2 linked regions of the Drosophila melanogaster genome follow. The protein of the gene in region 1 interacts with the protein of each later gene in a pairwise test. Each region holds a gene or a part of one and is shown in the gene's direction. Other genes may lie near its edges. The genes, in order: CG6138 and CG33191.

Region 1 (3,555 bases):
TGTTTTACATACCCATGTAGTAGTAGTGGGTCTCAAAAGGACTCAAGTGGTCGGTCATCTGTTTGACAAAGTGAACAACTAACTGCTGGGAGTCTGAGTAGTTGTTTGAGCAGCTAAAATAATAGAATTTTCCCCTAAATTTGGCCAATGATGCCTCACTCGGGCAAATAGTAAAGGCAGAAGCTGCTCCAGCTCCATATGCAAATATCTAAGACATGGGTGGATGACAACCACACTACCGCATCCTCATCGTCATCCTTCTTGAAGTTTTCCTCCATCAAACGAAGGATACACAGCCCGATCCCATTTGTTTATTTGTTTACTTTTTGCCATTTGCCTGCATGCGAGTTTCCCTCTACTTTGTCGGGGTTTTCCCTCCACTTTCTTGTATTTTTGTTGTCGTCATTATTTTGCTGGCTTTTTTTTTCCTGTTTAGCCATGAATATTTTCATATTTTCATGTGACCACTTTTCGGATTCCTCCGACTGCGACTGCTCACTCCTGCGAGTCCTACGTTATCCTGGAAATTGTGAGCAAAACTTTCGGCTGCTGACTGCCTTCCTTCCTCGGAGGTCGCATGTGTAGGACCATGTTATTTAATAGGCTTCTGCGACTCGGAAGACGAGCACCAAATGGCAGGCAGCTCGGCACAGTGGAAAAAATGTAGTTTAAAAATCACACATTCCTTGAACTTTAAGAAATGGTTTGCATGCGTCAAGTAAGCCTAACTTGACAAAACGATTCTTTAATTTGTACATCCATCTTCATCAATTATTTTAGAAGGCATAACATTGCGTTTTGGTCCACTGTCCAAAAATATGCTCCTTGGTATCACAGGTCTCCTCGCTGCTCCCCGCCTCTCCTGATATATTTCCATCTCACCCTCTTTGTTTGTTTTGTCTGCCTGTCTGGAGTCCTCAGTCTTTTGGAGTCGTCTACATGTGTCTGCTCCTTGTCGCTATCCTTGCAACCCCGTTGGTGCCCCAAACCACAAGCGCCTTTCTTTCGACTTCCGTTTGTTTGCACAGTGGCTGCTGTTTTGGTAATGCGTTCAGATTATTAAACATATTTTCTGATGCCTGACAAATGGCAGGACAAGCGGTGGTAAAACTTTTCACGTGAGCAAAGAAGTTACGTAGTCTGATGTTTATGTTGAAATTTGCGCAATTAAACGAAACGCTAGTTACTTTAAGTGATCAATAAAAAGCAGGAACAGTAAGTAGGTCAGGCCATTAAAATTGCCACGCCAGGCGAAACAGAAACACACACTCTGGGATACACCCCAAAACGAGATTTATGTGTGTTTCTTTGCAGGGAGAAGGAGGAAGGAACACTGTATCCTATATGGTATCCTGCTCCTTGTTTAATCGTTAAAGGAATTCATGGTTTGTTTCTGGTTTTCTCTCCCTCCGGCCGTTCAAGTTTTCCTATGCGTTGACACACGAAAAAGGGGAGCCACCATACCACATATATGTATTACTTTGATCGGCAACACACGAACTTGCAACTCGACCATAGAGGAAGCCACCTGGCGTCGACAAGCGAACACACTTTGGTTAACTCGGCTCCCCTGGGACTCTCGCTTTCAGAAGTTGCTGCTAAATGCTTTCTGATTGTTATTTTTCGTGTTTTCCTCGGTTTGCCTCGCTTTCCTCCTCCGGCAACTGCGAAATTACAATTATTACACGGAGACCCAAACTCAAGTTTTCCACTTCTTGCAGTTCGCTTCTGCCTCGGCTGCTTTCCCTCAACTTTGCTTTTTGCCGCTCCAAATGCAAAATCTGGTAATGTAGGCGTGTTTAACACAAACTTAAGTTGTTCGTAATGACTTTGTAGCAAAATTCGGTAGGGATGGAGTCGGATTGAACGATGGAGCGGTGGGAGGATGTAGATTAGGGCGGTACAGGAACTTAAGATGCCATTCTTAAAGCCCTCAGACGGAATTAATGAAAAAAGTTTGCAGTTCGAAAAGGACAACCAATGGTGAGGCACAAATTACAAGATGATGCGATAGACCAAATATGCAATAAAGTAATAAGAAAGTAATTTATACAAATGAAGAGAATATACAACTTTCTAATAATGAAAGTTAAAGATTCTATCGAGGCATTGGGGTTAGATAGCTTTGCTTTTCTCATCGTCGGCATAGAAATCAAATTTGAATAAAATTTCTAAATTTTAATAAAGTTAATTTTCTTGGAACATACCAAACAATCATCGAAATCAATAAAAGCCATGGAGGATGACTTGGAGTTTCTTATCAACGCCCTGTCGGTGCCAAACACTCCACTCACCGAACCCTACGATGAGGGGCAACTTCTAGAGATGCGTGAATCCTTCAAGACGCTGCAGAAGCTCCTGCGGCGCAGTTCGCTGCCCGTAGAGGAGAGTCTGCGTTCCATGCCGAGATCGAAAGCTGGAGGTCAACTGGAGGCATTGCCATCCTTGCTGCCTATTGTGGACAACAATTACGAGAGGACCAGCGATAAGGCGTGGAACTCGGCGGAAAGCGGAGCCCGTTCGTCGCCCATCATTTCGGAGTGCGGCCTGGGTGATTGGGATAAGGAGGATCCTTCAGATCCTTCAGATAGGGCACTGGTGCCCTACGAGGAACTGGGCAATGAGCGAAGCAGTTCGGACACCACAATCACCAGCCGTAGCTTCGCATCGTCGGGAATCTCGCTCAGCATACCTGTTCACTTGGTATGGAACAACAAAGAGTACAATCAGGAGAGCACGGACAGTGAAACTACACTTATAGCGGACGGGCGCAGATACAGTATTACAAATTAGGCCACATAGTATTTTTCAAAATTATAGTAAGCGGATTGAAGTTTCATACATATTTAATAAATGGTGAATAACATTTATAATATTTGAAATATTTGAAAAAGGTATACAAGCATTCTTGTTAGTGGAACCACTTCGGCAAATCCTTCATCAGTGAAGCGCCTCTCTACGTGATTCTCAACAAGTTTAGCTCGGAAGTGGATGGCAGATCACGGATCCACGTCATCAAATTAGTTCGCATGACCTGACCCCAGACACAGTTTTAATGAGTGAGCATACCAACAACATGGGGCTTTGACCCCCTGCTTAACCCATGCTGGCCACTCTGAATGGTAGCAATGGAACTTGTAAAAGTGATTAAAACGGAAATTTAATTGAAATGCGCACATTTGCGTAGGCATTTGCCCATTTCCGTTTGACTGGGCACGCAAACCACTCTCGGATGCTCAGATACCGGCATACAGAATGCCAAATGTTTGTCTACAAACAAATGGCCTGCGGTTATTTTGCATAGAAGTGCTGGGCGATATATATATTTTTGAATTCTGCGTTCCTGGATGTAATTTCAATATTTTCTGGTGTTTGCGTGCGTGCAGCAATTTCCTCGACTGCCGAAAAATTCTAATTTCATTTCGTTATGAAATTTGCTCTCTGTCCGTTTCCATTGCCGATTTCATTTGTATTGAAATGTTCGCCAGGGACTGGTTTGTACAGGTGAGGCCTTCAAGCAATTTGCTTTCGCTTTTCGTGCCTTTGATTTTTGTG
Region 2 (4,105 bases), on another chromosome or scaffold:
ATCTGCCCAAAAATCTGAACTACACCTTGGTGAATCAGACAGCAGGGCGAATCCGCAGATAATTCGACCAACAGATGAGCAAGAGAAGAAGATCACCGCGGTGCCCTATTCCATGAGACAGATGTTCAACGAGGTTTGTTCTGTGGATCAGCAGCACGAACCCGAGCTCAAAAAGAAAAGCAAAAAGCGAGCAAAGAATAAGAAGGAGAAGCATCCAAGACCAAACAGTCACCAGCGAAAAATACAGCGTTTCCTCTTCCGTCACATTTACCGTCCACGTACGCTCAATCGAACTCTGGGTTTCCCTCTTCAAAAGAGCCTCTCCTGCAGTAGTTTCCACTCTCTGTTGTCAGTTCACTCGGTTCACTCGGCCAGATCCGGAATTTCCCTGCACTCCCTTCACGCTGAAGTTGTTAATCTTAATTGGGAATCTCTGGCCAGCGTGTCATTTGTACAAACGGACGAGGTGAAAACCCTGGAGGAGGAGGTTCAGGTCACGACACAGTGCAATGAAAAGGAGATGCAAGTTCAACCAGAGACGATTGAGTGTGGAACACAGGTCGATGTGGGTGTGGAGCAACGACTGCTCCTGATGCCTCTGAGAACCAGGTGCTTCGTGGATTTGATTCAGGGCGCCGTGGACGGATACCTCGATGTTGCCGCATTCCGGACCCGTCTTCTTCACTTATGGGAGGGCGGAGAGGATTTCCGTGAGCATCTTGAATTTTTGCAAGACATGTGGATTGAAAAGAGTACTCAGAAGACGCAGGAGAGCTATGAAGGATTTGTGGCTGCTCTGGACTGTGTCCATAACCTAAAGTTGGCCCTTAAGCCTGCATCTTCGGCGCTTTTGCAACAAATCGAGCAGCGAATCCACACAAGACTTCTGCTCTTCCATAACCACAAGGCGGAATCGGAGTTCTGCTGCACTGTCTACATTCCCGTGGAGAGGAGCAATTCCACCTTGTTCAGAGCTAAGAAATAGAGCTTTATTTCTATGTAAATACACCAAACATAAATGTAAATTACCAAGTGACTGACCCTTATTTCGGTCTCCTTGAAGGTTGCCGTGTATAAGATCTTCAGATTAGATCTAATTATAGGAAGCTAACCAGGAACATTATAATTCAACATCAATAGTTCTCTGAGATTATTGTCTTTGTATAGAGTAGACTGTTTTATCGGCAGATTCGTAACGGCATCAGATTAATCCAAATTGTTTAAACGTTGAGCATTATGATTGGCGAGTTTGAGGACTTAGACATCTTTTATGACTGCCGCAGTGACGACGAGGAGACTCCAGATCTGGAAGTGGGCGGTGGTGATGAAGTGATCTGCAAGCAAGCGCCTCGATTTGACGATCCTGTCCAGATTCGGGCCGTTTTGGAGCGGGCAGCCACTGCCACCCAGCGGTTGCTAAGGTGCTACGGAGGCACTGATTCCGTGCCAACTCGTCCTTTGATGACACTTTTCTATCCGGCCACCCTGGAGGTCAGTGCCCGTCTACATACGGACGACAAGTGTCCTTGCCCCAAGGACAGGCAGTGCAAGTTAATCGGCGACCCAGTGACCCTGAGGCTGCCAATCGAACTGAATCCGGAAAGCGGCCAGGTCAAAGTCAACATCTTCCAGCCCAAGTCAATTGGCACATTTTGTGGATGCAATGCACCTGGAAATCAGAACAAGTCGAAGAGCAGAAGATCGAGTGTAAAGTGGTCCAACAAGGATGAAGTGTGTCCCGATTGCCAGGAACCTAATCAAAACACGTAAATTTTAAACTTATCAAGAGCCACGTCTTGCTCACTTAGTTGTTTTTTCTCAAAATTCATTGGTGACTAAATTGGATTATGTTTGGGAAATGCATTTTTTTCACTGGTAATTGCTGGGTATGTTGGGTATCTTTATAAATTTTCGCTTTGCTTTGGCTACACCACACATAGAACAGCGTAGGAAAATCGAAAATTCATAGGAGTTACTAGCAGGCCAGTGAGGTCACGTTTTCAATACTGTCACTATTGTGCTCCATTTGGTATCAGTATTTTAGACACAATCGAGCAGGCAACACACACTTTAAAATTTAATGTGAGTTCAGAGCTTGATTTGGGGAAAACAGTTCAAGCTCTTTAAGCGTGATGGACGAGGAATTCTCTAATCAGCCCATCGATCCAAGCATCGCTCGGAGTGACTACTCCCGGAGTCATTTCGTTAACCAGAGCTCCATGACATTGAGTCGCGGATTGGACTCCACCCGACTGCTTTTCGTAGGCGAAAACTTCCAGCAGACGCGCAGCGAACAGGACTTATTTTACGACTGTCAAGGTCCGGGTGAGGACTCGCCAAAGGAGGGCCGTAGTGCCACCAGCCGGTGCAAGTTCGATGATCCGGCTGCGATACGGGATGCCCTGGAACGGGCGGCCAATGCCACACAGATGCTACTCAAGAATTTTGACAAGTCAGGTGGTTGGAATCAGCCATGTGCCGTCACCCTGGAGTTGACCGCTCGGTTGGTGGACCCCAAGAAGGGTCGCGCTGGTTGTCCGTTGCACGGAAAGCCCGTCACCGTCCAGATGCCGCTGGAGTTCAATCCGCAGAGCGGCAAGATGGTCAAGTGTCAGCAAAAGAAACAACCGGTCACCAGGCATCGCAAAGAGTCCATCTGCCAGTGCCGCTCGCAGCAGTATATGCGTTCCGGTCCAAGGGCTCCAAAGCCCAGCTCAGGTAAATCCGCCAGCAAACACTTTCGTCCATGTGCATCGCAACAGCTAGCCGAAGGGTCCGCCAGTTCGGTATACATAGGAAGCTGTGGGGATTCAACATCTCAGTGTAACCGTTGCACTCCGGCCACATGTTGCCGCTGGCACGACCCGGGGGCACGGGAGGTCATCTCAATCTCCTGCCTGACCTTGCCGGATATCGAATCAGAGCTCACTCTTACCCCAGTGCCTGAGCCACTGCCAATTGAAGAACCGTTGGTGGAGATAGAACCAACGGCCCCGAAGGAGCACTTGATAATCTATGCTCCAGAGCCGGAACACCCGATCACCGAGTCGGATGAATCCGATGAGCTCTTGTCTAGCGAGCAGGAGATGTTAGGACCGCAGCCGGAAGAAGAAATGGGACCGCCGCCGCCGGAAAGATCGCCGGGAAGCAAGCGGTACTACCTTGCCCTGCCTCAAAACAAGGAGTTCTCCAACTGTTCGCCGTGCCGTTTCGATCCCAGTCCTATTATGGACGAGGAAGGCAATGTGTTTTGTCCCGGCAACTGTGGCTGCTGCATGTGTCCGTGGAAGCAACGCTCCTTTGCCCCAAACCAGCAGCACACCAATGTCAAGGTTTGCCGATGCGTACAGCGCGGCACCATCTTCACTAAGTTCGAGGATCGGGAGGTCTGCAGCCAGACCTCCTACTTCGATTTTTGTCCGTGCCGCGAAAAGGCGGAGGCCAAGTTCTTAGAATTGTACCACGCTGAAATGTGGTCCCGTCCGGAAATCACGCGGGGTCGCGAGATCCAACTCAATGAGATCAAGGAACTGCTCGTACCCACGAGCCATCCAATCGAATAAAATGTGTTTGCTCACCGAATCAAATCGAATCGAATTATGTGTGTTCTAGCCGGGGAATCGAGTTGAAACGGTTTTAGGAATCGGTTCGGTATCGGTTAAGAGTGCTCGAATTTTCGAGCCTTAGCCGCCACAATATCGTAAGCGTGCTAACTTTCCTGCTGATCAGTTTTCTTCTATTATATGTCAATTGTAATCACTTCTCTTTATTGAAATTTCCCACATTTTAAATCCTGTTTACGGATTTGATTTTTTAAGGCATACTTATGTCGTTTACCTTATGTAAGCGGCTAAGGCTCAATGTTTCGGAATATCGTGCAAGTCAAGATGTTTGCAAGAAACCTGAAGTAGCCAAGAATTTTTGAAGGGTTACAGAAGGCCGGCTATTAACAGATTCTTATTTTACCTGAATTGATGTATAAAATCCTTGTTAGATATTTATTTTATCCCAAACATTTCATCCACAGAATGCCCGGCTCTGATGTACATGCAGCATGAGCGACATTCCGACAGCGACCCCAACTCCCGCCATCAACAAACCGAGG

The links.
Region 2: the proteins of CG6138 (region 1) and CG33191 interact in a two-hybrid assay, tested with the Drosophila melanogaster proteins (one large-scale study listed by BioGRID).

What each region holds. Positions count from the first base shown.
Region 1 is NT_033779.5:10,565,148-10,568,702, forward strand, and holds CG6138 (uncharacterized protein), read left to right. Parts: upstream 1-2,107; 5' UTR 2,108-2,235; coding exon 2,236-2,793; 3' UTR 2,794-2,865; downstream 2,866-3,555.
Region 2 is NT_033777.3:8,777,864-8,781,968, reverse strand, and holds CG33191 (uncharacterized protein), read left to right. Parts: upstream 1-2,045; 5' UTR 2,046-2,132; coding exon 2,133-3,563; 3' UTR 3,564-3,590; downstream 3,591-4,105. Other genes in the region: CG33189 (uncharacterized protein), read left to right, coding at 1,237-1,770; Pif1A (PFTAIRE-interacting factor 1A), read left to right, coding at 4,028-4,042; Pif1B (PFTAIRE-interacting factor 1B), read left to right, coding at 4,042-4,105.